Linked DNA regions of Coturnix japonica. The protein of the gene in region 5 binds, or shares a complex with, the protein of the main gene of each other region. Links are inferred from orthologs where the notes say so. Each region holds a gene or a part of one and is shown on either strand. Other genes may lie near its edges.

Region 1 (4,042 bases), on a different chromosome or scaffold from region 5:
TTAGTAGTAATATGATTTTTAACACAAATTAATAATTGCAATATACATGTAACACTTCCACTTAAAAAATAAACTCTATTTTAAGAGCATTATGATTCACAGCAGCACCTGAAGCCTCGAATTTGCTGAACTACTGGAGGCCAGCCAGGAAAAGGATCCCAACTGGCAAACGGGTAAAAATAGCATATAACTAAACTTTAGAATTCCTGTAGCCTGAGATGGACAGAAAGTAGCAAGGTTAAGGAAATACAGGCGCCAAGAAACTGATTGCTAAATGAAAGATTAACCGGCAACTGAGAAAGCTGAGAAGAATACAGTTTCACAGAATTAAGTTAATTACAGTGTGCGAGAGAGAAATATAATGGACACCAAGAATAGCTGAGAGTTGAAACAGAGAAGACTAATGACCCAGAGGCAGCCCTCCGTTAGCAGACTTCCAAACCATGTACTCAGTGACACAGTGTGAAGTTGTAGAACAATTAACATTATTCCATAAACAAAAATCACTACCAGTTAGCTGTGACTCTACATCTAACAATTCATCCAGCCCATGTCTGCGTGCTGAGTGAATTCTTCAATAGTAAGAAGGTAACCGAGTTCATGTTGCACTATTTTCCCCCCATGGATTACAAGTTTGAGCCATTTTGCTTGCCCCCTGAAATTCACAAGACTGATAAAATTTTATATTCTCCAGTAGAGATTTCATAAGGGTTCTGAGTCCCTGTTATTACAATGTTTGACCACCCTCATGGTGAAAATTATTTTATTCACATGGAATTAAAGAATTCTGCACTCTTCTCCATCACTGTGCACTGTGATGGGGGCTCAGTGCACCTTCTATACCTTCCTATTATTAGCTGAAGACAGTAACTGAATCTCATCACAGCCTTCTCTTTTCCTCACAGAACAAAATCAAAGACTTCTACTTGGTCTCTAATTCCAAATCAAAGCGGGGTAATAAAGTTCTCAGTGAAACTCACCTTTTTTATAGGCACATCCTTGGCAATAGTGAGACCCTGGCTGATGGACAGAACTCTTACAAATTCGACATATTGCAAATTTGTTCTTTCCATAAGGATCAAACCTGGAAAAATGGAGAAGTACTTTGTTTATGCACAGTGAAATAAAGTAATTCCTTCATCTCATACTAAAAATGCTATGCGAGAGGAAATAGACAAAAACTCCAGCAAAAACTGCAATCAAAAACAGGGACATAAAGAGGTCAACTCTAATAGACTACAGAATTTCTACAAAAAACCTCCCATTTTCTCCATTAAGAGAGGTTTCTTGTGTTATAGAAATTAAATTAATAAATGATGAACTAAAACCACACATTGTTCTTAAGATACAAGCCTATTTCAAAGTCAAAATACATTTCAACAATGGCTTGCCCCTGGCATAACAGAATATCCTTTAGACATTAAGGAGATGCTCAAGCGTTTGAACAGGTAATGTTAGCATGGAAGATCACAGAATCATGTGAGTTGGAAGGGACCTTTAAATGTCATCTAGTCCAACTCTCCTGCAACAAACAGAGACAAACAGCCTTTTCAGCCCCTCTCTTAACACAAACAGCAATTCCTACCAATTTTAGGGATGCCCACAGCAATACAGCTGCCCATGCTCTGTAATTCCACAGAAAGCCCCAATGAAATACATAAATACACACTGCCACCAAGGATTAACATGTTAAAAGAAATGAATAAATTAAGTTGTATTTTGGACAAGTTTTGAGGAATTACCCTGCTTTGTGAGAATGCAAGGTCTCAGTTACAGAAAATTGAATTATTTTTTAAGCTGAAATGAGGATTAAATACTAACCTTGCTTTCTTTGAGGTCAACGCCTTGTTTTCATTCAGCTTACGGCCACCGCTTTCTATAAAAAAAATACAACCACAAGGCAATGCATTTCACAGTCCAGCTTCCAACTGCCACATGTGGGCATGTGTGATCAGAGCAAAGTGAAGCATGAAGCACATAGCATGGGCAGGCCCTGCATATCATCCTTCCACATGAGGGGAAAGATCATAATGTAAACATAGAAAGTGTTGGGTTGGAAGGGACCCCCCAGGGATGGTTAAGTTCCAGCACCCTGCCACAGGCAGGGCCACCAACCTCCAGATCTGGTACTAAACCAAGTTTCCTGGGGCTCCATCCAACCTGGTCTTCACCACCTCCACAGCCTCTCTGGGCAGTCTCCCCAGCACCTCACCACTCTGTGTGAAGAGCTTCCCCTAACATCCATCTAAACCTTCCCTCTTTGAGCTTAAAACCATTACCTCTCATTCTATCATTACCTATTCAAGTAAAAAGTTGATTCTCCCCCCCCCCCCCCCCCCCGGTAATGATCCCATTTTAAATACGGAAGGCTGCAATGAGATGGACAAATTCAACGCCAAAAAGCTCGAGGTAAACAACCCTTCACTGCACTCAATGGAAACTACAGCAGTGAAGGGCCAACCCGGTAACTCCAGCAGGCTTTGGGGCTGCCCCCCGAACCCTCCGGACGACCCGCAGGGAACACCCAGCGACCGACACTACCTGTGGTGTTTCTCGCCCCATCCTTCCACGTATCAGGAGTGATCACGGTGCCCAGCTTCCTCTCACCTACGGAAAGAAACACCACGAAATAAACGATTAGAATTGCGCTGCCCTCAGACCCCGCTTAGTGCCGGGATCCCCCCAATCCCACCCTACTCACACTTCTCGCACACCATGGCCGCCCAGCACAACAACCGCCGCTTCCGGACCCGCCCCGGAGCTGACGCCATCCCGTTGCCGGGCGGCCGGCGTCCCGGGTACGGGCCAGGTGGGCCCCGCACGTTGTTAGGCCGCCCCGCGGGGCGAGCCTGACCTAGGACGTTGTGCGAGCGTGAGGGTCGTTAATCTACCACTAAAAAGCCCTTTTCTCCCCCAGAACGCCCTCATTGCCCCGCTGGTGCGGCTGAGTCCCGCTGACCGAGTGCCGCTCGCTGTGTTGCAGGTGGCCGGCGGCACGGCGCCATGAAGGAGGCAGAGCTGAGGAGGCTGCTGGCTGCCAACCTGCTCTGCTTCGTCTCCATCGTCCTGACCGCACTCGTACCGGCCTTGTTCCTGGATGGGTTCTCGGTTTTGGGCACTCACCTCACGTGGCTGTGTGTTTGTTCTGTCTGTGTTAGCGTCCTTAACGTAACCTTGTGTTTAATCCTAAAGCCAAGTCCGTCTTCTAAGAGAAGCTCGCTGTCTAACAAGGTAAGATTTGTTTCTTTCTTAGATTCCTATCGAGTGATGTGGAGAGGATGCTAAGCCTGTCACTGAAATGATGTGATGAGAAAGAAGTTACAACTTCTGGTGGTGAATTCTTGTTTTCCATGAGTTGCAGAGCTTAACTCTGTCTGCACCTGCCAGCAGCCCTCTGGGCTGAGCATCCCTGACACTTCTTGCCCATGGGGTTGTGATTTGTAGTCACAAGTCTATCACTGACTGCATGCTGGTAGGAATTGGGGCACACCAGAGTGGGCACGAAATTCACTTTGCAGTCTAGGCCTGACCTTCGTTATTGCAGAGTATTGCTTTGTTCTTTGTGTAGGAACTGAGATGTAAAATTGGGAACAGCTCATTACTACTAAAACTTGATGAGGCAGTGGCACAGCTGCCCAGAGAAGCTGTGGTGCCCCATCCCCAGAGGTGTTAAGGCCAGGTTGGATGGGGGTCTGGGCAGCCTGAGCTGGTGGTGGCCAGCCCTGCTCATGGCAGGGGGTTGGAAATGGGTGGGCTTTGAGGCCCCCACCAACTGAAGCCATTGTGACTCACTGAAAGTTGGTAAACTATAAAAAGTGAAGTTGAAAAGTGTCAGAACAATTGCATTTCATTGAATGACTAAATCTGCAGAAATTAAATCTGGGAGATTTCTTTGTAGTTACAGTTTGTAATAGGACCATTGAGGGTGTGGATCCTAATTTAACAGGTTAGAGGAGTAAAACATAGCTGGGTCAGGAGTGGTAGAATACAATTTGAAGTCAGCTTAGTCGTGCAACCCCACCAGCTGTGTCAGACAGTGCTC
Region 2 (2,888 bases), on a different chromosome or scaffold from region 5:
AGCCTTTTCTTCTCCAAGCTAAACAAGCCCAATTCCCCCAACCTTTCTTCATAGGAGAGGTGCTCCACCCCTATGATCATCTTAGTGACCCTCTTATGGACCCATTCCAAGAGTTCCACAGCTTTCTTGTGATGACGGCTCCAGGTCTGGGCACAGTACTGCAGATGGGGCATCACAAGAGCTGAGCAGAGGGGGACGATCACCTCCCTCTCCCTGATGGCCACCCCTTTTTAATGCAGCCCAGCACACCATTGGCCTTCCAGGCTGCAAGCACACACTGCTGGTTCACATCCAGCTTCTCATCCACCAGGACCCCCAAGTCCTTCTCCAAGTCATGCATCAGAGGAACTGACTATATGAAGAAAAGAATGTAGCTGGTCCTGTACTTCTTGGTACACAGCTTTCCCAACACAAGTAGGAGACATGATAAAAGTTGGTTCCAAACCTAAAAAGTGCTGTTTACAGACAAAACACTCATATTGTTCTATTGTCATTCACATATACACCATTAACAACTGTCAGAAAAGTGCAAGTCTTCCATGGCCTTTAACCCAAAGGACTCATGCTGAGCTCATTGCATTCTGACGCCTTGTATGTTTTCACTCCAAGTTCTCTATTCTTTGCTGCAAGGGGCATGAAAACCGTCCATATACACGATTTCCCACATTGTTTATTATTTCCTACATATCCTCAGCACTAACTTCCTTGCAATAAACTTATAAGCAATTCTCTTTCAACTGGCGCCCAGTGAGTTTTACTGTCAGAAAGAAAAAAAAAAGCTTTATTTTAACGTTATCTCTGTTCCCCAGCCAACACATGAGGACAAACACATCCATTATAAATTATCACAGAAACAAATACGAGTGCACTTCAGATAAACATTTATTAAGAAGAATCGTAATTGCTGCTCTTATCCTATCCATCCATAAAGGTAGGGATGTGAGGGGGGACATTCTGGATCTGCAGAAGACACGGTGTGAGGCAGCCGGGGGCTGAGGGAGAGGTGGACAGGGAAGGGGAGGAGAGGGATGGAGGGGCAAAGGCCTAACAGAGCAGAGCGGCGGCACAGTGCTGCGCTGCCACCCCCCGGCCACCACAGACGACACAACCAGAGGTGGTATACGACCATTGGCTGGAGCAATGAGGAGGGCGGCCATTCCAACTAATAAGATTGAGCCCACAACCCCTTTTCCCTTCGCGCTCCGTGGCTCCGTAGCCAATCGCGAAGGCGGCGCGGCGGGGTGAGAGGTTGGAGGTCGGCGCGGCGGCACGGAAGTGGAAGTGGAAGGTATCTCAGCGCTGCCTTCCATTCTGCCTCAGCCCGCGGCGCGCACGAGGCGATCCCGCCTGGCTCTGCGCTTCTCGGGCCGCCATCGCGCCCCATCGCCATGGTGAGGGCAGGGCAGGGCAGGGTGGGGGGAGGCTGTCGTTAGCGGTTGGGATGGCGGGCGGTGCTGACCATTGCTCTCCCCTAGAGCCTGCCGCTCAACCCGAAGCCCTTCCTCAACGGGCTGACGGGGAAACCGGTGATGGTGAAGCTGAAGTGGGGGATGGAGTACAAGGGATACCTCGTCTCCGTCGACGGCTACATGAACATGCAGGTGAGGGATGGAGGGAGGGACCCGGGCCTTGCTTGCTTGTGGGAGGGAAGCAGTAGTGAGGCTCCTGTTGGTGTAATGTTTGTGCTGATTTTCGTTCCAAGCTTGCAAACACAGAAGAGTACATCGATGGAGCACTGTCTGGACACCTGGGAGAAGTTTTGATAAGGTAATCGTGGTGCCTGAGCTGGGGAACGGGGTCTTGTGGGGACTTCTGTGTCTTGTGTTACTGCTTTGTTGAAGCTGGTGGATCTAGGGGATGTGCTTGTGTTTTAAGTTGAAAGAGGGAAGATTTAGGTTGGATGTTAGGGGAAAGTTCTTTACTAGAAGAGTGGTTAGGTCCTGGAACAGGCTGCCCAGTGAGGTTGTGGATGCCCCGTCCTTGGAGGTGTTCAAGACCAGGTTGGACGGGGCCCTGGGCAACCTGATCTAGTAAATGTGTATGTTTGGTGGCCCTGCCAGACAGGGGGGTTGGAACTACATGATCCTTGAGGTCCCTTCCAACCTGGGTAATTCTGTGATTCTGTGTGATTCTGTGTATTGGAGCACTAAATGCTGCTGTAACTCCCATGTGAAGTGAACATTGTATTTGCGAGGGAAATTAAGACATTTCAACTAAGGGAGCTCTTGATTCTATTTACAGGTGCAATAATGTTTTGTACATCAGAGGTGTGGAAGAAGAGGAAGAAGATGGAGAAATGAGAGAATGATGATTTGTATATCTGGAAATAAAGGGTTTTTTTTCTTTTTTTTTTTTTCTTTTCCACAACGTTGTCATCAGGTGTTTATTTTGTTCTTGTATTTGACTATGGGGGGAGTTCACCCAGAGGCTATAAAGAGTCATGAATTTCAGTGGCATTCATAGAGCTAAAACAGCCTGTGGAATGGGAATGCCTGATCTCAATCTGCAGTATTATGGAAAGAACACACAAAACACTAACAACAGGCCACTCTTTGTTATCAGGCATCCAGATAACTGAAGTTTTGGCAGGAACATAATTGCTTTCTCAAATGTTAAGAGCAACCATTGACATTAACCGAAGCTGTTCTGTACCTATCAGCATTTCCTAAAGGTAACCATTGCTTTGCTGATGCTGCTAGTCAGAGCCTCCCCTTGTGAAGGATCTACTTGCATCTCTAGGCTGGAGAGAGGTTCTACAAGCCAAAACACAAATGGCTGTACCTCATGGATTTGTGTGTGACTTTGCGCTGTCTCATCAGTGACCATTTGTCTTACATCTATTCTCAAATACACAGGTATACTTTCAGTGCTACAGATGGATTAAATAC
Region 3 (4,125 bases), on a different chromosome or scaffold from region 5:
CCGTGTGAGTAAAATGTAAAAGCTGTCAGTCGTTATATGGGAATGTTTTTCTGTACTTCACCATTCCAATTCAGCTTGTTCTCAGCTCTGTATTCTGTGCCAACAAAAAGTCATAGGTCAAATGGGTAAAAAACAGACACAACCAGGATCTCTAGGCAGTGATTTCTTACAAGCCCTATGGATTTCAGCCTCTTCTACTGCCATGTCTTTTTGTGAGTAATTTTTTAAGGTAAGACAGCTCACAAATGACACCATCTGTAAAAGGGCCAAAGAAGAGAGACAAAACCCAATCTATATCAAGAAAATCTGCAATATCAGTAATTCATCCTTTGTTATTTCTTTACAGGCAGTAGTAGTGGTTTCAGTTTCAGCAAAGCCCAGATTGCTTGATGGACTGAAGTGCTTCCGCTTGGCATTGTAACTTCAAAGACAATCCAAGTGAGTTAATCATAAAAGGCTTTTCTTAATGACTTTACCTTCGATCTGGTACAGACCCTTGGAAACCTTTGCTAACACAGAGTCAGCTCTGCTTTCAGATGGGGATAAAAAGCATTCAGCATCCTGGGGGCTGCTGCAGTTTCAACACAGCTTTATATGTAAAACTTTATGGACAATGTCTTGCAGTTTTAAACTGTTTTCTCACTGAGTTACGGCTTATTGCAGCAACAACGCGGTGCACTTTCTCAATCACGTCACTGGGTTTAATCATAACTTTGAAAGCTGGCACACACCCATTGGTGTACTCAGTGTTTGTTAGCAATGTTGATTATACTTTAGAAGGACAAACAGCCCCTCAAATCCCGCTTGAAGGAAGTAATGTAAGCATTGGCGGTGTGTTATGAGCTGTGTTATGAGCAGGTCCATTCTCTGTTACCATCCAGGGCCTTCTAACACCACAACTCACTGTGGATGTCCCTGTTCTCCATACACTATGACTTCAAAGGTAACAACCAGGCCCAGCGCTGCCCGCTTCTCATCCCCACCCCCAACAGAGCTGTCACGGCCCGACCCGCGGCTGTAAACAAGGCGGAGCACTCTCAGCTCCACCAAGTGCTTGACAGGCCGCCCCCGATCCGAGGCCCCGGAGCTGTCACTGACCTGCCTGCGGAGGGGGCTCCCCCGGCTCCCGGGGGCTCCTCATGACGGCGGCCGCCCGCTCACTACCCGCCCCGCCGGACTTAGGGCCGCGCCATGCCCTGCTGCGGCGACGGCTCCTCCCGGCTGCGGAGGGGGCGGACCCCGAAGCGGCTGCTCGGAGCTGGGAGGGAGGGAGCTGCCTTCGGGAGGAACAAAAGTGCAGCGGAACCATCGTGATAAGGCAGCGAGACCCTGAGGGACAGGAGCAGTAGCAGGATCCGCTCCTGTGCCCTTCCGATTCCGGGGCTCTGTGCACGGCGGGAAGGCGGCGGCCATTAGGGTGGTTGGTGGGAGGTGAGTGTCGGTGGGGGTTTGTTATAGGGTCGGTTTGTTATGGGGTGGGTCTGTTGTGGGGGTTTGTTATGTGCCTGCAGCTTCGTAGGGCGGCAGATGTGGGCTGAGAGGGTGGGCTGCCCTCAGCCTTGGGCCGGGCCTTGGGATAGGCGTGTATTGCCAAAGCACTGAGGCCTTTGTTCAATGGAGCAAATCGGCTCCTGTAGGCAAAGCCGAACTGCAGAACGACTGGGAGTTTGTTTCCTTTATTCACTTCTATGTTGTGCTCTCTGTCCCAGGAGTAGAGCCGCAGTGTTGCAGCCATGTCCATCGGGGTGCCCATTAAAGTCCTGCACGAGGCAGAGGGCCACATTGTGACCTGCGAGACCAACACTGGGGAGGTGTATCGTGGGAAGCTCATTGAGGCTGAGGACAACATGAATTGCCAGGTAAAAGAAGTTTATCTCATCTGTTTGGAAGTGGTTGCACTCAGCAGACTGACAGCGGGATTTAAAGACCTTTTACTTTTAGTCTTAGGATAAATAAAGCCCTTTTACTCTGTGCACTTACAGTAATGAAGTGAATTCCAGATTACTGAGCACACCAAATTGCTCAGAATTGGGATTTCCTGTTCCTGGTTCCTCTGTGAGCACCTTCTCTTCAGCAGTTCTTTGTTTATTGCCTGTTGATAATAAATAAACTCTAATTTATGAGCTTAGAGCTGTGCTTAATGCAGAGGACTTTAAGGCATTGCAATAGCCTTAATTTTGATAACTTCATGCAAGTTGTAGTTGAAATAAAAATGTCCTTAATAGCTGGGACCAGTAAAACTTTATTTAAACTATCTGAATAAGAAAACAAAACTAATAAAACTAATTAAGCAAGTGGGGAGGAGGGGAAAATAGTGAGTTTGCTTAAATTTTAGCAAGCTTTAAGACTGTGTTTAAATGGTTATAGATGCCTTATATAACAATAACAGTTGAAGGCTGTATGCTTGATAGGGCTTTGAGTTTATTACTTGAATCTTGGCTATATATATATTCCATGAGCAGGAGTAGTGGGAGTACAAAACTATGTTTAAGGCCACTTAAAACAAACTGTGTTTGAGACCACTGTCTGATCTTTACTTTCCAGATGTCCAACATAACAGTGACATACAGGGATGGGCGAGTGGCGCAGCTTGAGCAGGTGTACAGAGGCAGCAAGATACGGTTTCTCATTTTACCAGATATGCTGAAGAACGCTCCTATGCTAAAGAGCATGAAGAATAAGAACCAGGGCTCTGGAGCTGGCCGAGGAAAAGCAGCTATTCTCAAAGCTCAGGGTGGGTACAGTGTGTTTGTGGTCTGGTGTTCCCTCTTTACCTTCCTGTTTTGCTGTACAGAAACTGAGATGTTTTCATCCCTAACACTAAGCAAAGATGAGCTGTAAGAAGCTGAATGAGTGACAGCAGTCAAAACTCAGACTGATGCACAATACTGATACTGCAGATAGTTCAGGAACAGTAAGTGGCCTTGCTAGAGTTAGGTAAAACTTCACCTTTGGTTTTCTGTAAATGTGGTTGCTGCCTGTTTGGATTACCCAAAGTATGATGATCTAAGTATTCTTAAGCTTAAAAAATATATATTTATATATATATTTATATATATATATATATATATTTATACATACATATATATATACACACACACACACATATACGTACACTTGGTTGATACTTTAAGTTTTTTAAATGAGTAACTGTTAGCCATTCTGCAGTTCATCCTCTTTAATACCTTTTTTGTGTGAACAGTCTCGTTATAACAAGATCAAGAAATAATCATGGGCTCTGAAGCCCTTGGTTAACTCTACCAAATGCAGTAAGGATGTGTGGGGGAGTAACATCTGACAAAATATAGCGAGTTCTGTCACGCTGTATGAAGAGCAGGAGGTCTTAAATCTCTCTGGCTACAGATTCACACAATTTAAAGTAGGAACAATGGTGTGTTACTATTTCATTGCTCTTAATGCATACTCTGTTATGAATAGCAAAGCTGTGTAGTTGTTAGTTACAGTTGTTTTCACAGAAAACTTCTATTTACTTTTATCACTTCCCAGGCCTCATACTGTAGCTTAACTTCTGTGCTTCTAAGGAAGAGACTGAGAGTTATTGATGTTTGGTTTGTCACTTGTTGAGATAAATGTGTTGCATCAAATTCATGTCATCCCTGATGTTTTCTTTCTTCAGTGGCTGCAAGAGGAAGAGGCCGTGGTATGGGTCGTGGCAACATCTTCCAGAAGCGAAGATAATTTTGGTCTTGACCAAAATGCTTTTTTTTTATTATTATTATTAAAGGGGCTCTTAACTTGTCTACATATATGTTGGTAACTTCTGTTTAATAAATGTTTCTGACAAAACCCTGTCTGCTGTTATATGACAGAGCTCCTCTTAGGCACAATAGAGTTCTGGCTTCTTTCTGTAGCTGGCAAATACGTTGGAGGTGGATTTCAAAGTGCGTTGTCTAGAAAACAGTGGACATGGATTTGATTTCTTTGTACTTTTGTGTGATGCATTGAGTTTCAAAGATCATCTTGCTTCCTTTTTGTTCAATACTGCTGTAATTTACCCTCTAAAGAGTTAGAAGTTATTCTTCATGAAGAATTTTTAATGTTGTTTTAAGGTTGTGTTATCACCTGCATTTACAGAGCAAACAGTCAAACTGAGGTAGCTCCTAG
Region 4 (4,156 bases), on a different chromosome or scaffold from region 5:
TTCAGTGAGGGCACATTTGTTACCCTCTTCTCTCTTCCTCTTACGTTCCTGCAGGTGAGTTGTACGAGGCATAAACCTGTCAATGCCGTTATCAGCTGGAACTGTTCTTTGCTGAATTAAAGGCACTGGTGCAGCACATCCTCCTGGATGCGCCTTCTGAGTTAGGGATGAGCTTTGACTGGAGTTCCCAGAGGTTTCAGCACTGGGGTTGTCGCAGTGGGGAAAAGCCAAAAGGTCCTGACTGTGATTGCCAGAAGGATATTCCATGTTTTGGGACAACCCATGAGGAACTGGAAAGCAGGATGGATCCCAGTGAGTGGCTGCATGTGATCCTGGGGTACTCCACTGAGAATCAGACTTGGTCCTCCGAGGCCTCTCTGTTTTCTTCAACAGAAAGCAGTCTTTAAAACAACAAGAAAAGAAAAGGAAAACAGCTTCATTATTTTATGCCACTGTTAGTTCTAATACATAAAGTGTTCAATACAGTGACAGAAATAATACCAGCAATACTTCATTCCCAGTCACCTTCCTGTGATTCTGCTTAAGCAGCACCTGCAGTGGATAATGATATCCAAGTACATAAGCATAGGAAAGGAGAAGCCTGTGCCTGGCATTGTACTTATTTTACAGCTTGTCCAGCCTTCAGCGCTGCCTGGGAACTCAGCAGCAAAGCTGCCTGTCAGCCCAATCCATTCCTCGTGTTCCTTACTGACCCAAATGACAGGCAGGAAATAAGGGGCAGGGAGGGGGCTCTCTTACTAATCTCTCTTTTTGGGTATGCCTGAAAGAACTGTAACAAGGGGAACAAACTGATCCTCAGTTTCCTGGCAGTACTTAAAATTTCAGGTAACGTTTTGAAAAGAAATGAAGGAAACAATGAGGTTTAAAAGCTTTAAAGTGCATGTTAACTAAAACGTTGCTTTCTGAAAGGTCCATCTCTAGGAATAACTGAGAAATGTCCTAATGTAAAACAGCTAAACACAGTATATTTTCATCAATGGATGCTTTTGGCTTTACCAAGACGTACCAACCACTGGAATTAAAACTGGACATGAGATTTAACTACAAACCTCTTTGATTTGTTGCTTTTGCAATATACTTCCTTCTGTCCTGCAGCTTCTCCCTGGTTTCTTGGACTGTTTCAAATTCTGGAGCGTAGCACACGTGCAGCAAACTCCCAAAGAAACTGCGCTCATCCATCTTCTTCTTGGCCACCCTGAAGGAAACTAAATGGCATTAGCAGAGCTGAGGGTTTTACTTCAACTCTGTATGATGTAGATCATACATAAAGGGGCCGTGAAGGATTAAAACAACAAAAGGCAGATAGTGCTGTGTATAATACCTGGCACATTGCAGATTCTGGAATTTTATCAGATAAACTTCAGTGAACTGCTCTGCGGGATATTCATCAAGTGCATGGTACTCTTCTATGGCTCCGTACAAGGCAAACTGCTCCACTAACTCCTTCATGACGCCCAGCGCAGGAACTCCCTGGATTAGTAAATAACGCGATTCCAAGTTGATGGTGTACACCTGAAAGAAGCACAGGACAATCACAGAATTGTAGGGGTTGGAAGGGACCTCTAGAGATCATCAGTCCAACCCCCTGCCAAAGCAGGCTCCCTACACCATGTCACACAGGTAGGCGTCCAGGCGGGTCTTCAATATCTCCAGAGAAGGAGACTCCACCACCTCCCTGGGCAGCCTGTTCCAGTGCTCCGTCACCCTCACTGTAAAGAAGTTCTTCCACACATTAATGCAGAACTTCCTATGCTGTAGTTTCATCCCATTACCCCTAGTCCTGTCCCCACGCACTACTGAAAAGAGACCAGCCTCACCACTATGGCTTCCCCACCTCAGGTATTTATAAACCTGGATCAAGTCCCCTCTCAGCCTTCTTTTCTCAAGGCTAAACAGACCCACTTCCCTAAGTCTCTCCTCATAGGGGAGATGCTGTTCAATGCTCTAAAATGCCCACGTTTACCTCACTGCGAAAACAACAACTCAAAGCGTTCGTGCTGCCCGCTGTGTGGAGCCACCGCGGGCAGGGATGAACTCAAGCAGGGATGAACACATCACAGAACATCAGCTGGAGCTGATGCTTCTCCAGATGTCAGAGCACCGACACCTGCGGACTAAACAAGTCTCCAGCAGCCCACCCGCCCTCACCCCGCACCTTGACGGCCCTGGGTCGCCGCCCCTCGCGGTACTTGGCCCTGGACCCGCATGCTCCCAGCTGCTGGTGGTGCCTACACGCCTCCCCCGGCCCGCCAGCACCGCCCGCCGCCATCTTCCCGGCCGCCACCGCGGCTCCGGTCGGCTCTTCCGGGAAGGAAGTGGGCGCTGCCGAGAAGCCGGGCGGAACGAGCAACTACAGCCCGGCCCACCCGGCTGGCGGCATGTGGGGCAGCGGTAACCCCGGCGGAGGGGCCGCTGGAGTCGCCGCGGTGACGGTGGTGCTGAGCGGGACCCGGGACTGCTTCCTTCACCTGCCCGCCGTGCTGGCCTCGCACCTCCGCCTGCAGCAGGTACGGGGACGAGATGGGGGCGGCCCGTTCGGAGGGGATTGTGGGAGAGAGGTTCTCCTTCCTCCCCCCATCGTATCCCGTCATCATGGCGGTGCTCAGAGCCCTCCTCGAGAGGACGCACAGTCACCACAGCGACAGCGCAGGGCAACCAGCCGCCCCCCGCACTGTCGCTGTGGTGACTGTGCATCCTCCGAACGGGCCGGGACCCCTCGCCCCTGGACCCAGATGGGTCTGAGTATTTCTGAGTATGATTTGATAGTAATTCGTTTCATCTGCCTGATAATCACAGGGCCAAGCTGTCAAAGTATCCTGCCGTGATGAGCCCATCTACCTGAGCTGGATGGAAATGAGGCATCGAGGTCAGCGGGGTGAAAATATCGCAGAGATGAACAGGCATTTAGCAGAGAAGCTTGGCATTGCAGATGGAGAACAGGTTTGAAATGCAGGTCCCTTTTTTGAGTTTCTGAGTAGAGGTTTTATGTGTTTAAGGAGTTAAATTATTCAGAAATAATGTTGCTTCTATCAGGTGTTCGTGGAGCCCTGTTCACACGTCTCCTCCTGTCAGCAAGTAGAAGTGGAACCGCTCTCAGCAGATGATTGGGAAATACTGGTAAGAAAACCTGTCCCACTGTTCACATCATTTTCATGCAAATGACAGAGAATGTTGATACAAGCTTTTGTCGCAATCCCCCGTTCTTTTCTGCTCCTAAGCAAATGCTAAGTCTTGTGGGTTTTCATTGTATTTTATGTTTCAAATGGTGTATTAGAAAAAGATGTGAATCTTCTATGTTCAAACACATTTTAAAGGTTGTACAAGTGTGTAGCTTACAATGATACCACACTTTCCCAGGAACTGCACGCTTCCTCTCTTGAAAAGCATCTTCTGGACCAGATCCGAATCGTATTCCCCAAAGCCATCTTTCCTGTTTGGGTTGAACACCACACTCACGTTTACATCAGAATTGGTAAGCAGCAGTGAATGCTTTGCTGGTGCCTTGAGTAAGCTGTTTTGCAAGAGTGGATGCATTCATTCATCTGATTTATCCATACTCAGGTACACTTATGCCAGCAGCCCCCTATGGGAGATTAGAACCTTGCACGGAGCTTCTGATCTGCCCCAAAGCGCGTGAGCTTGAGGAAAACGTCGTAGACATGCCTTCTACAGAAGGTGACATCTTACTCAAGAGCTTTGTGAAGAATAGCATGGAGCAAGACGTAACTGTAAAGGAGCCTTTTGCCAGTCAACCTCACTTAAACCCAGGAGTCCCTGAACAGAGTAAGGCTGATGCAAATGTGACGTTTGGCTCAAGTGTTCTCCCAAATATGTGGAATTTCATAGGGAGCATTTTCTCTCGTACAGCTGAACAGAAACAAAAGACTCTGTGTGATAAGGATGAAATGAGCGCCTTCAAAGACAAGCTGCTGAACTTAATTCACATGGATTCCATTTTTAGAGTATGCCAGTCCCAGCCTCCCAGCGTACAGAACGCATCAGCTGTTCATGCATTTCTGAAACACGGTGCCATTCATGTTTTTCCACAGAATTTAGAATATACTGATTTGGATCCAAATGCTGTAGTAACTTATGGGAAAATTAACGGGCTGCTTTCCCCCAGACAGCGTCATCA
Region 5 (3,528 bases):
AAAAATACATCAAATTCATTCCAGAGATTACAGTCTTGCTGGTGAAAAGCTGCCATATTCTAGTCAACACCGTATCCTGATTGATTACTAGTAGTTCCATATACAGACTGTCAGAAAATTTAATTTATCCATCATTTCTTAAGTCTCAAAACTCGATCTGGAAGTTCCTTTGAGAGCTCTCCTGCAAAACTAAGAATGACTAACAACTTCTGCTTTTGCAGCGCAGAAGAAAAACACACATTTACCCATTTCTTTTGTGTACAACAACGTTCTTCCATTTCTAAAATTGTGACTGAGAGTAGAAATTCCTCAAAGCTCACAATTTTCTCTATTTCTATAAAATACTTCACAGGACTATGTAATAAAAAAAGATTAACACTTGGTAAAAGCACCACATAAAGTGTATGAGAAGTTAGACATTACATTCATCTGTGTTTATTTGCTTATTTTCATTTTTAAGTAAGGCAACCCACAAAAAGAAAAAGAAAATAACCTAACACCCAATTCTAAGTCAAATCTTACAAAAGACCTAGTTTTCCAGAATGAAGTGGTGGAAAAGTCTACTGCTTTCCGCACTTCAGATTCTGACTAAAGTGGGTTTTTCTTTTAAATATATGTTTTTTCCTTGCAGTTCTTGACCACAGAACAGACGACAGCTGAGAGCTGGGATTAAACACCAGAAGCTGAGAACCAGTGAGCAGACCAATTACTAAAGCAATGGTGCTCAAGTTATATCTGCACAGTATAACATAGTTTGTGCATTCCTGACTGTTATCTATGCGTTATAACTGAATTGTTTTTCTGCAACACAGCATTTTTTTCCCACTACTCAGAATTCTTCAGGTTATAGCTTCACTGGAAACCAGAACCCAATGCATGCATTTAGTGTTGAACCTTTAATTTTGTGCATGAAATGAATCAAATAAGACAAAAATATAGCAGTCACCTGAACTCTGAAATTACTTTCATGTGAATTGTTTACTGGCTAAAGAACAATTTTCCTTACTTGAGAACACACCTGCCTGCTGATCTCCAAGACTAACTGGCATCCATACAAAAATTGCTTTAAAACAATACACAGTATTACTAGGGAAAATAAACAAAAGCAACTATCAAAAACTGGAAGTAACGACGTGATTCATTCTTTTAATACCATCTTGTATTTCAATACCTGCCTGAAAATACCTCGATTCTCTTTCAGAGTCAGAGTTCTGAAAATGTCTTCCAAGTTACATTATTTTTGTTACCGGATAACCATTCCAACAGTCCAACCAATATATCTTTCCAGGCTTTAAACAAACATTTTAAACTGCTTGTCAGCAAGGAGCAATTACACAAGAGAAATGTGTTAAGAAATATGTCGTCCTACATGCTCTAAAGGTTTAAAGACATCTTAAGTAAAAACAGTTGTAAGGAGATGCTGTCATTCATCTACTTGCTACACAAATTAGGTCCCAGGACAAGTAAGTATTCTAAACTCTACGCAGCTATTTCATTTAATAGCAACAAAGAAAAATAAACTTACTGTTTGACTTTCAGGAAAATCCATCTTCAGCAGTTTGTGAGCACATTCTTCAAAGTCTAAGCTGAAATAAGTTGAAAAAAAGCAAACAAGTTTTCTTCTTATCCGTGCAATATACAGCTATACTAAAACACCTGAAATCCACTGACTTTCGTTCAGTCAAAAGGTTTGATTGGAGCAGTATTCACAGTCTTAGCAATCTAACTTGAAAAGTATTGTAGAACAACAATTTTTGCTTGGAATGATGATTTAAGAACCCACTGTCAAAATCATAGTCAACTTTCTAGCCTTTAAATCAAGTTCAGTATTTTTTTTTAATGATATGCTAAAGCAGGATTTAAAAAATAAGAGAAATTCAGTCACACCAAAAGAAATACAGCTGTGTATGAATTATACAATATTTACCTTGACTGAATAGCAAGATAAATTGTACGACGGAAGGAAACCAGGTTAATTTCTGTCTTGTCATGGACAGTAACTTTCTGGCCTGTGAAAGAAACACAGTTTGGAAATAACAAAGCATTACAATGTATTTTATACATCTACATATCTTGTAGAAAATATTTGTTTTTATTATGTCTGTACCACATTTGTGTAAAAATACCTTTTGTGGAAATATTTAAGACTTGGGCAGTAATGTGTTTGTATATTTATTTCTATCAAAGTAAAAAATTCAAAAACAGTGTTCACTTTATCTGTGACTAACAGGTAAATATTTAGAGATACAATAGAGTTACAGAAAGCCTCCTTTTATTATGTGCTACTATTAAACATTTATATTTCTGACTAACTGCAGATTAAAGCCTCCCTTAACACTGCAGTGTTCTTAGTTATATAAAACTTGAAACAGAAGTCAAGGTTTTCTTCACAGTTTAACCTACAAAAAAAACCCCATGCACAAAGAAATCCCAACAACCAAAAGACAAACAAAACTCCAAAACAAACAAAATTTGCCAGTCGTACACTTACCATCCTCATCCTCCTCTTCATCTTCCTCTTCATCTTCGTCACTACTTCCAGCCTCTTGATCTGCTTCAGACTCACTGTCACCTTCATCAAGAATTTCTGAAAGAGCAGCATGCCACATTAAAGGTGCACAGAACATAGTAGTTTCATTACCGAAAAAACAATTGATCTAACATCTAAGAGCAAAAGGATATCTCTGCTGGAAAAGGTACATCACAACCAACTTAAAACACAGCTGTAGGGACAATACTGAGGAAAGGGACAGGAATATGTTGGAAAGGAGTACGACAAACTCAAAGGCAGTTATCTGGGACACACATGCCACCCGCTGTTAAACAGTTAAACTGGTAACGATAGTTGGATAACTGAACAGCATACAAAAAACACAAAGTACATGAACACATATTTTACACATACCATGCATATATAATGTGTAGTAGACTATATATAACGTATAAAACACAAGTACACACACCTACCTTTCTTGAGCGCTTTGTATTTCTCCTCATTTTCCATAAAGTTGGGATCCATCTTGAAAACATCTTTAAAATAAAAAAGAATCCTTAAAATACAAAATGAAAATAAGACTGCACACCAAATCTTCAGTTTGTTTTTGTGAAAAACACAATCATGTAAAATATTTCTAACTTACTGAGAACATCCTCTGGGTTGTATTCATCTTCTAAAGGTAACATGTGAGTAAACTGATCTTCCTCTTCCACTAGATCTAAACCCTCTGGAATGATTGGATGATCCTTGAAGCCATCCTTCCGTACGGCAAACATAACTTCTATCATGTACTGAACACGCATGTCAATTTTAGATTCATGGAGAATGTGACGAAGACGGTCAAAGATTGCTTTGGAAAAAGTGGAATATTTAATATGTAAAAGGACTTAACATTAAGTTAATCACAAACAAGAAAAGGCTAACGTGTTGGCTCATACATACCATTAATACCTCTAGGAGAAACTTCTGTTAACTTGAGCCCACTCTCCTTAAGGAACCCAATTGCTACTTCAATACTGTCATCAGTAGGC
Region 6 (4,223 bases), on a different chromosome or scaffold from region 5:
TAAGAAAATGGATCTGTCCAACCCCACCACACCCCCAAGCACGGGATGCAGCACACAACAAAGAGGGAGCTCAGCACAGCTGGGGAACCCCAAAATGTTCCTACCCACCCCCCTCTAAACACCGCACGCCCAGACCCTATTCACTCCCCTCCCCGCTCAGCACCGGGTGCGGACCCCTCTCCATTTCCCAACAGAATCCCAACCCCAAAAGGCATCCAGAGCTCAGACAGCATCCCCCGAGTGCTCCCCCACCCTAAAGTCCCTCGACCGAGCCGCCTCCCGGAGCAGAAGTTCCCCCCTGGAGGATCACACAGACATTTTGGGGGGGGGGGTCCCCCACCTGCTGCGCAGCCCCATATGGCAGCACCGCTATCGGGGCTCCCCACCTGCAGCCCCCATTTCTCCCCATCATCTCCGAGCCCTCCCACCCCGCTTTGTTCCCCTCCCCCATTGTTCCCGACAAACCCAAACCCACCATACCCCCGGGTCCGCCGCCGAGCAGCACAAGGGCTGAGCCCTCCCCGTGCTGTCCGTTGCTCTGTCCGTCCGTATCTCCGTCGTTCGCTCCGTCCCTTCCTCGCTCCGTGCGCGCTCCCCCCGCAGCCCCTTTTATCGCGCGGCCGTGGCGGCGATTGGTTCCTTGCGCGGTGCGGATCCGAGCGCCGCTCCTTTGTGTGCGGCCGCCTCTCCCTCACCCGGCGGCCCCCGCTGCCCCCACCCCAAAACCGCATCGCCGGCCCCATCCCACCGACCCCCCTCCCCAACCCCCCCATACCCCCCCCATACCCCCNCCCCCCATACCCCCCCCATACCCCCACCCCGCATTCTGCCGCCCACCGTGGGTGCGATGCTGCGCTCGGGGTCGCGAAGCAGCGCTCGGGGTGCGGGTACCACCCAGCGAGCGGAACCGCGATGGTGGATGGGGTTCTGTAGGGGTTCTGCTGGGGTTTTGTTGGGGTTCTATTAGGGTACTGTTGAGGTTCTGCTGGGGTTCTATTGGGGTTCTGCTGGGGTTCTGTTGGGGTTCTGTAGGGATTCTGTTGGGATTCTGCTGGGGTTCTATTGGGTTCTGTAGGGGTTCTATTGGGTTCTGTTGGGTTCTATTGGGTTCTGTTGGGGTTCTGCTGGGGTTCTATAGGGTTCTGTTGGGGTTCTATTAGGGTTCTGTTGGGGTTCTGTTGGGGTTCTATAGGGGTTCTGTTGAGGTTCAGCTGGGGTTCTGCTGGGGTTCTGCTGGTGTTCTGTTGAGGTTCTGTTGAGGTTCTGCTGGGGTTCTGCTGGGGTTCTATTCGGGTTCTATTCGGGTTCTTTTGGGGTTCTATTCGGGTTCTATTGGTGTTCTGTTGGGGTTGCTATGGCGACTCGCAATTCACCCTCCACGCCTGCAGGTGGCGCTATGCGGCCCGAGTCCTCCCGTCCAGCAGGGGGCGCTGTGCGGCTCTGCGCCCATCTAGTGCCGCTCTGTCTTGAGGCGGCGGCTCAAGATGGCGGAGGGAGGCTCAGTGTGCGGCTTCGTGTTCAAGAAGCGGGGCCTGGCGGCGGGGAGGGGGCGGCGGAAGCGGCCCAGCAGCGACCAGGAGCAGGGTGAGGGGCTGACGGGGGTGGTATATCCCGATGCGGCCTGTTGTGGTGCACGAGGGAGGCGGAGGAAGGCCGTGGGTCGTACAGCCCCTCAGTGGGGCCCGGTTATTGAGCTGTGTGATTGAGGGGCGCTGCCTCCATCCCCGGAGCCCCGCGGTCAGGCCCATTAAACCCCATTAAACCCCATTAAACCCCATTAAACCCCATTAAACCCCGCAGGGAGCAGCGGCGATGAGGGCAGCACCGTGGTGAGGAAGGAGCGACGGAGGGACGCCCCCAACCCCATGATCCAGAAGGTGAGGTGCACACAGGGCGCTGTGCTGTTGTTGTGTGGGGCACATCCAGCCTTCACACCCGCTGTCTGTCTGTCTGTCTGTCTGTCCGCCCTTCAGACCAGGAGGTGCACAAAGGAGCGGCCCTCATACGCCCTGAGCAGCAGCGATGATGATGATCCGTCGAAGGAGATCGGAGTCACGTACAAATCAACAAGGTCGGCGGTAAGGACTGAGCGCAGATGAGCTTCTGGGGTGGGGTTAATCCCATACTCATATCCCATACTCTGCTTCTGTAAATGTGCCATCAGCTCTTCTCAGTTTTGATCTGTAGCTGTGTTTCCCTGTCCCTCCCCTCCTAACACACAAGCTGGGTTTATTCTCCTGATATTCTGCATTGTTCAACAAGGAGCTCAGAGCAGCTCTGCTGGGAGGAAAGGTTGAGGGAACTGGGCTTGTTTAGCTTGGAGAAGAGAAGGCTCCGGGGAGACCTCATTGTGGCCCTAATACTTGAAGGGCAGGGCAGCACGTTCTTAGGAGGAGGTGGAGCCTTTGGGGTTCCAGAAGCTTTTGGTGTGTAAGATGGGTTTGTTTTTAATTTGAGGCTGGTTGTAATTATTTGGTTTCTGTGCAAATGAAGAGCTGACAGAACCTCAGAGCATTTGTCTGTTCACTGTATTCACAAGGAACCAAGACTAGATCACTGAATTAAAACAGAGCACAGGCTGCCCACAGCTGGGTTAAAAGTTCAGATATAACATCCTGCCTGTGGGCTGGGTGGTCTCATGGCTGAAGCACTGAACATGAGAGACCTGAGATCAGTTTCCAGCTAAGACAAGATGAAGCTTGAAGGAGTAAAGTGGGGATTTCTGTGTCCTGACTCTGCAAACTAAAACCTGGGAGCAGTCAGTAATTAACATCCTGTCTTGCACAAGTACTAGGCTGGATGCTAAGAGAAGATGCTAATAGAAGTTAGAAACTGCTGGAGGGTGAAGCAGGCCATGCCCAGCACTTGTTCAGTGACTGGCCCTCCAGGTAGCCGAGGGGTTTCTGTCTCATGCAGCCTTTCTTTTTACTGTTATCACATATTGTTCTTGCTTTTCAGAAACCTGTTGGCCCAGAAGACATGGGGGCCACAGCAGTGTATGAACTGGACACAGAGAAGGATAAAGATGCCCAGGCCATCTTCGAACGCAGCCAGAAAATACAAGAGGTTGGTCAGCCTCACTTCTAAGAGTTCATGCTATGCAGGAGTGTGTGTGCTTACTCATCTCCTTTTGCATGCCAAGACCTTGAGTCTTTTCTTGCCTGCATATTTGAGAGGTTGGAAGTGTTGTCTATGTAAATGGGGGGACTTGCTGGTGTTATTGACTACTTGGTATTAAGGAAGGTATGGCCAGGAGGGGAGGTTGGTATGGGAGAGATAAAAGCTCGCTTGTGACATGAAGATCTTCTGACCCCTAATTGCCTTTTTTTTTTTCTCTTCTAGGAACTGAGAGGAAAAGAAGATGATAAAATTTACCGTGGTATTAACAATTACCAGAAATATGTGAAGCCCAAAGACACGTCAATGGGAAATGCCTCTTCAGGAATGGTCAGGTAGGTTGGGACGAGCCTGGGATGGGGGGGGTGGATCATAGAACCACAGAGAATTTCAGACATTGTCCCCAGGGGCACTTTTCTGGGCTGAAATGATGCTGTTTTTGGAGCTTGTTCCTATCTAATGAGTTTGGTGTCTGGTTCTGGCCGGGCCCGCAGGGGTTTTCTCCATTGCAGTGACACAGCTGGACTGAGCCTTCTCCCACCCTTTCAGAAAAGGACCCATCCGTGCTCCAGAGCACTTGAGGGCCACGGTGCGGTGGGATTACCAGCCAGACATCTGTAAGGACTACAAGGAAACAGGGTTCTGCGGCTTTGGAGGTGAGTGGGTCTTGCCTGCAGGGATCCAATCCAGATGGTGAGCCCAAGTTTTGTGGCATGAAATTGCACAGTTAGTAATTCATGGGCACCTGTTTGCAGAGTTAGTATTTCCTCACCTGAGGTTATGTAGGTGGTGGGATCTCCTTTTCCTTTTCCTATGTGGGTGAATGCTGGAGCTCTTGCTGTGGCATCCAGAACGTGATGCTTGTGGCCTGTTGATCCTGAGAGGGCAGGATGAGGCCCTCTCTTGGCCTCATCTCTCTTGGCCCTGCCCTGTAGCATGGGTGGGTACAGAAGTAATTGGGTTTCACCTTGTACTGAGCAAATCTCAGGCTGCCCCTGGATGAGGTGTCCTTTGAACAGCTGGGCAATGGGGGTAGATTGTTCATCCCTCTTTTGTGCTTTCCAGACAGCTGCAAATTCCTCCACGACCGCTCAGACTACAAACAC
Region 7 (4,277 bases), on a different chromosome or scaffold from region 5:
CTCAGCTCACTTATGGAAACTTAAATAGGACAGATCCTTACATGGATAATAGTGATAAAATCCAGCCACATCTGACATCCCAGCACTAGGATTTAATGCAGAGATGCTGCCCAAAGAAGAAATTATAGATTTAATCCCAACCAGCTGCCCTATCTAATGATGATATTTTACCAAAGTACAGCTATTAATATAGTTTGTGATGTCGGATCACTGTATCACAGCCTCAAATCCATCACCAACCCACTGATCCACCAGAAAGCACCCAAGGAACCAGCTGTTTTGACAACAAAGGGTGGTAATTGCACGTAGAACCTCTAACAAACTTAATTAGAGCCATGCATGCTCAAGCCTGACAGTGACACCAGAGCCTGTCCTGTCTCATGTTGTAACTACCCAAAAAGCACAGAGCTATCAGGAACTTATCGGACCAACAGCAAATCACTTGATGTACATTTCTCTGCCTTCTCCAAGCATAGAAAGCTGAGAATAAAACCATGCAGATTTCCGTTTACAGACAACGTGAAAAATGTTTATTTGGGAAATACATCCCTTATTGTTTCAGACTACAAAAAAAATCACTCCTACAAAAGGAGGGGACTTTGAGCTCAGCATGCAATGCCAGTTACATGTAACTTTCTATCTACCAGCAGGGGTAGATCTCCCACTGCACCTTCTTCATTCACTCCAAACCATTCTGAACTGCAATCACTGCCCTAAGAACAGCGATTTCTAGTTAGAAACACTTTGTAGAAGAGTGATATTGTCTCCTTTTAACATGATCCGACCTGCAACACAGAAAGGAAATGGGGGATTAGAGAGATCCCAGAATCCAAGAATACCTCATGTTTTCACATATTATCCCACAACAGGAGATGCTTGCAAGAAGATGCCCCTATTATAGAGGGGGAGGGTTGCAATGAGTCCTATCCCTGCTGGCAGCCCCATATGGAAAGCATAGCAGGGCAGGGTCCATACTCATAATCCACTCCCAACTCTCAGACACCATCTCAGCCCCAGCAGAACACTGTCCCTGCTATAAACTCAATCCGAATCAACGCATCCCCTCATCACAGACAGCTTTATCTTCTCCAGCAGCGGTAAATAGTAAATACCACCAGTCAGGTGGCTCCTGCTTTGGCCAAGAGTTGACCCAGCAGGTACGAGAATTGCTCAGGGCTACCAAGTTTAGAAACAGCCCAAAGGAGTTTGGACCAGACTCCTCCAGACACCTCAGTTGTACAAAGACAGCATTTAAAAGATAACAACTGGTCTCAGGCACAGGGAGATTCTCCTTTACATTCAGCAAAATCATCACCTTTAACAAACATCAGGAACAAAGACTGAGCCAGCACCTGCCCAATGCTCTCCCAAACCAACACCTGGCATGTGCTTTCCACCTTTAAGTGTTGCTACCAGCAAGGCTCACCCAACCACCTTTCATGCTATAACACGTTGACATACCCAGCTGCTTCCTTGATTTTGTTTTGGAGTGAATCTCCTCTGCATCATCCAGCACCAGGTTCATATATTCATCGAAGCCCTGAAAATCAGTGGCAAAAACACTCAGTTGGTAGCACACAGACTCATGAACGTGGGAAAGCCAATGGTAACACATGGACATGTTGGTACTCACAATGATGCAGCCTTCTATCCGCATGTTCACCTGCTCATAAAGCCACACCTGGATCCTGGACCTCTGCAAAACAATCAGGGTGAATAAACTGGAAAAGAAATGCTTCAAGCAATGCTGGTCTTTGCTTCTGTGCATTTAAGAAAGCCTTGCTAGTAATGTGGTGAGAAATCTTTGCAACCAACAGCCACTGCAGCTCTGAAACACCCCAAAGAGCAACTCCCAACACAGAACCTTGTAGGTGTGGGTTATTGAGTGTGTGTTACACACACAGGGGCACAATCAACATACAAAGGTGTTAATGCAAAGGGAGAACGCTCATCTCTGAGCCAGCTCTTATGCTCCCAAACAGCACCAGTTCTTCGTTTGAAGCCGATGGGCTCCAAAAGCAGCCAAGAAGTTACAAACCCAAAGGCGAACCCAGCCCTGCCCCGGCCCCAGTACTCACGTTCTGCAGGTAGCGGAAGATGAGGTTCTGTAGAGCAGCGTTAAGGACGGGAACAACTCCAGAGAGACACAAGGCCCTGCAGGGCCGCTCCTACCCTCCACTCGCCATCGGCCCCAGAGACGCCATAGGCTCCATAGGCCCCATAGACCCCACAGGCTACATAGGTCCCACTCGGCCCCAGAGACCCCACAGGCCCCAGAAACCCCATAGGCTCCATAGGCCCTGCAGGCCCCAGAGACCCCATAGGCCCCACAGGCCCCATAGACCCCATAGGCTCCACAGGCCCCACAGGCCCCACAGGCCCCACAGGCTCCATAGGTCCCAAAGGTCCCACTCGGCCCCAGAGACCCCGCAGGCCCCATAGGCCTCAAAGGCCCCACAGACCCCATAGGCCCCATAGATTCCCCCATAGGGCCACACACCCCATAGGCCCCATAGACCCCACAGGCCCCATAGGCCCCATAGGCCCCACAGGCCCCATAGGCCCCATAGGCCCCATAGGCCCCATAGGCTCCATAGGCCCCGCAGGCCCGTCCCCTGCCCCTCCGGACAAGGATACGATGGGCTGCACCATCACCTTCTGCACCTTCTGGCCCTGCCCTCGATACGCCATGGCTACTCCCTGCCCGCCGCCACCACAAGCTCCGCCGGAAGTCGCAGAGAACACCGGAAGCCGCTGAGCAAGGCGGGAACGCGCAAGGGACGCTGGAAGACTTGCCGCTCTAGGAAAGCGGGAGGACCGCGTCTCTACTGCTCGCAGATCCCACCAGTGCTGTCTCGCATTAAGATCCCGCCCACCAATACGCAAAGAGGCGGCGCATGCGCAGTGGTGGCGGCGGCGGGGCCATGGCGGGCGAAGCTCCGCTGCCCTCGGTGGCGCTGGCGCCCCCTGGCGGCGGGTCTGGGCCTGGGGTCGGACCGGGCCGAACCGACGGTACCGAGGGGCTGTTCGTGGCTCTGGGCGCTGGGCTCGCCGCCGTCAGCCACCCCCTGCTCTACGTCAAGCTGCTCGTCCAGGTCCGGGGCCTAAAGGGGGTGTGGGGGGGATGAGACCCCCGTGTGGGGGCAGGGGGGAGGCCTGAGGTGTAGGCCGAGGTGTGAGGGGGGGTCGTGGGGCGTCTCTATGGGGTGACGGCCTGTGTAATGATGGGGAACCCCATAGGGAACTATGGGGACCCTGTGCAAAGGGAACCCCCCATATGTGGCAATGGGGGTTCCCTCCTTATAATGTGTTGAGGGGGGTAATGGGGGGTGACGGCCTGTGTAATGATGGGGAACCCCATAGGGAACTATGGGGACCCTGTGCAAAGGGAACCCCCCATATGTGGCAATGGGAGCTCCTTATAATGTGTTGAGGGGGTTAATATGGGGGGTGAGGCTGTGTAATGATGGTGGAACGCCCATAGGGAGCTATGGCGGACCCTGTGTAAAGGGAACCCCCCAATATGTGGCAATGGGAGCTCCTTATAATGTGTTGAGGGGGGTAATGGGGGAGTGATGGCCTGTGTAATGATGGGGAGCCCCATAGGGGGCTATGGGGACCCTGTGTAAAGGGAACCCCCCATATGTGGCAATGGGAGCTCCTTATAATGTGTTGAGGGGGTTAATATGGGGGTGACGGCCTGTGTAATGATGGGGAACCCCATAGGGGGCTATGGGGACCCTGTGTAAAGGGAATCCCCCATATGTGGCAATGGGGGTTCCCTCCTTATAATGTGTTGAGGGGGGTAATGGGGTGAGGAGGGTCGTGCTGTGTGATGGGGTGGCACTCAGTCACCGTTATCTGTGTGTATGGATCCCACCTGTAGCTGTGAGGATGGAATGGGGAGCACTGTGGGAATTGGGATATTGCTGCATCAGGGACAGCTGTATAACAGGGAATGGGAACTCATATATAAACATATATACCAAAGATAAAGACCAACGTGTGCAGTGGAGGCTTGTTTATGTGACAGGTGAGGGGACCCCATAAAATGGGATGGATGAAGATACCCACACAATGGGGATTCCTATATAACAAAGGATTGAATGTGGGTCTTCATCCCTCTTCATCCTCAGAACCCCTCTGTAATAGGGAACCCTATAAAATGAGGGGGATGGGGGCCTCCTGTACCCCAAGAGGAGTAACAGGAAAGGGACTGCCTATATCATGGGACACCCATCTGTCATAGGGACTGTCCATATCATGGGCATCCATAG

Evidence for each region.
Region 1: CWC22 (region 5) and CRIPT share a complex: the UniProt entries of both Homo sapiens proteins name them as parts of the minor spliceosome. The link is inferred for Coturnix japonica from reciprocal best matches to the Homo sapiens genes CWC22 and CRIPT.
Region 2: CWC22 (region 5) and SNRPF share a complex: the UniProt entries of both Homo sapiens proteins name them as parts of the minor spliceosome. The link is inferred for Coturnix japonica from reciprocal best matches to the Homo sapiens genes CWC22 and SNRPF.
Region 3: CWC22 (region 5) and SNRPD3 share a complex: the UniProt entries of both Homo sapiens proteins name them as parts of the minor spliceosome. The link is inferred for Coturnix japonica from reciprocal best matches to the Homo sapiens genes CWC22 and SNRPD3.
Region 4: CWC22 (region 5) and RBM48 share a complex: the UniProt entries of both Homo sapiens proteins name them as parts of the minor spliceosome. The link is inferred for Coturnix japonica from reciprocal best matches to the Homo sapiens genes CWC22 and RBM48.
Region 6: CWC22 (region 5) and RNF113A share a complex: the UniProt entries of both Homo sapiens proteins name them as parts of the minor spliceosome. The link is inferred for Coturnix japonica from reciprocal best matches to the Homo sapiens genes CWC22 and RNF113A.
Region 7: CWC22 (region 5) and SNRPE share a complex: the UniProt entries of both Homo sapiens proteins name them as parts of the minor spliceosome. The link is inferred for Coturnix japonica from reciprocal best matches to the Homo sapiens genes CWC22 and SNRPE.

What each region holds. Positions count from the first base shown.
Region 1 is NC_029518.1:23,890,157-23,894,198, reverse strand, and holds the start of CRIPT (cysteine-rich PDZ-binding protein), read right to left. Parts: upstream 2,805-4,042; 5' UTR 2,772-2,804; coding exon 2,702-2,771; intron 2,608-2,701; coding exon 2,542-2,607; intron 1,877-2,541; coding exon 1,822-1,876; intron 1,085-1,821; coding exon 981-1,084; intron 1-980. Other genes in the region: PIGF (phosphatidylinositol-glycan biosynthesis class F protein), read left to right, coding at 3,004-3,231. UniProt on the Homo sapiens protein: As a component of the minor spliceosome, involved in the splicing of U12-type introns in pre-mRNAs. Involved in the cytoskeletal anchoring of DLG4 in excitatory synapses.
Region 2 is NC_029516.1:41,570,163-41,573,050, forward strand, and holds SNRPF (small nuclear ribonucleoprotein F), read left to right. Parts: upstream 1-1,234; 5' UTR 1,235-1,388; coding exon 1,389-1,391; intron 1,392-1,475; coding exon 1,476-1,601; intron 1,602-1,702; coding exon 1,703-1,767; intron 1,768-2,241; coding exon 2,242-2,308; 3' UTR 2,309-2,367; downstream 2,368-2,888. UniProt on the Homo sapiens protein: Plays a role in pre-mRNA splicing as a core component of the spliceosomal U1, U2, U4 and U5 small nuclear ribonucleoproteins (snRNPs), the building blocks of the spliceosome.
Region 3 is NC_029530.1:7,447,971-7,452,095, reverse strand, and holds the start of SNRPD3 (small nuclear ribonucleoprotein Sm D3), read left to right. Parts: upstream 1-1,314; 5' UTR 1,315-1,431; intron 1,432-1,709; 5' UTR 1,710-1,733; coding exon 1,734-1,859; intron 1,860-2,544; coding exon 2,545-2,734; intron 2,735-3,637; coding exon 3,638-3,699; 3' UTR 3,700-4,125. Other genes in the region: protein GUCD1, read right to left, coding at 1,099-1,309. UniProt on the Homo sapiens protein: Plays a role in pre-mRNA splicing as a core component of the spliceosomal U1, U2, U4 and U5 small nuclear ribonucleoproteins (snRNPs), the building blocks of the spliceosome.
Region 4 is NC_029517.1:20,668,892-20,673,047, reverse strand, and holds the start of RBM48 (RNA-binding protein 48), read right to left. Parts: upstream 2,818-4,156; 5' UTR 2,616-2,817; coding exon 2,490-2,615; coding exon of another isoform or gene 2,400-2,489; exon of another isoform or gene 2,378-2,399; intron 2,320-2,377; exon of another isoform or gene 2,291-2,319; coding exon of another isoform or gene 2,177-2,290; intron 1,534-2,176; coding exon 1,343-1,533; intron 1,217-1,342; coding exon 1,071-1,216; intron 402-1,070; coding exon 1-401. Other genes in the region: PEX1 (peroxisome biogenesis factor 1), read left to right, coding at 2,400-2,528, 2,818-2,961, 3,055-3,138, 3,379-3,493, 3,583-4,156. UniProt on the Homo sapiens protein: As a component of the minor spliceosome, involved in the splicing of U12-type introns in pre-mRNAs.
Region 5 is NC_029522.1:13,097,068-13,100,595, reverse strand, and holds part of CWC22 (pre-mRNA-splicing factor CWC22 homolog), read right to left. Parts: coding exon 3,440-3,528; intron 3,348-3,439; coding exon 3,141-3,347; intron 3,031-3,140; coding exon 2,968-3,030; intron 2,588-2,967; coding exon 2,492-2,587; intron 2,010-2,491; coding exon 1,928-2,009; intron 1,587-1,927; coding exon 1,526-1,586; intron 1-1,525. UniProt on the Homo sapiens protein: Required for pre-mRNA splicing as component of the spliceosome. As a component of the minor spliceosome, involved in the splicing of U12-type introns in pre-mRNAs. Promotes exon-junction complex (EJC) assembly.
Region 6 is NC_029542.1:2,229,019-2,233,241, forward strand, and holds the start of RNF113A (E3 ubiquitin-protein ligase RNF113A), read left to right. Parts: upstream 1-1,420; 5' UTR 1,421-1,484; coding exon 1,485-1,584; intron 1,585-1,800; coding exon 1,801-1,877; intron 1,878-1,973; coding exon 1,974-2,078; intron 2,079-2,958; coding exon 2,959-3,066; intron 3,067-3,342; coding exon 3,343-3,452; intron 3,453-3,666; coding exon 3,667-3,773; intron 3,774-4,182; coding exon 4,183-4,223. UniProt on the Homo sapiens protein: Required for pre-mRNA splicing as component of the spliceosome. As a component of the minor spliceosome, involved in the splicing of U12-type introns in pre-mRNAs. E3 ubiquitin-protein ligase that catalyzes the transfer of ubiquitin onto target proteins.
Region 7 is NC_029541.1:2,015,826-2,020,102, reverse strand, and holds SNRPE (small nuclear ribonucleoprotein E), read right to left. Parts: upstream 2,798-4,277; 5' UTR 2,692-2,797; coding exon 2,638-2,691; intron 2,106-2,637; coding exon 2,079-2,105; intron 1,697-2,078; coding exon 1,634-1,696; intron 1,541-1,633; coding exon 1,462-1,540; intron 786-1,461; coding exon 730-785; 3' UTR 508-729; downstream 1-507. Other genes in the region: MTCH1 (mitochondrial carrier homolog 1), read left to right, coding at 2,898-3,095. UniProt on the Homo sapiens protein: Plays a role in pre-mRNA splicing as a core component of the spliceosomal U1, U2, U4 and U5 small nuclear ribonucleoproteins (snRNPs), the building blocks of the spliceosome.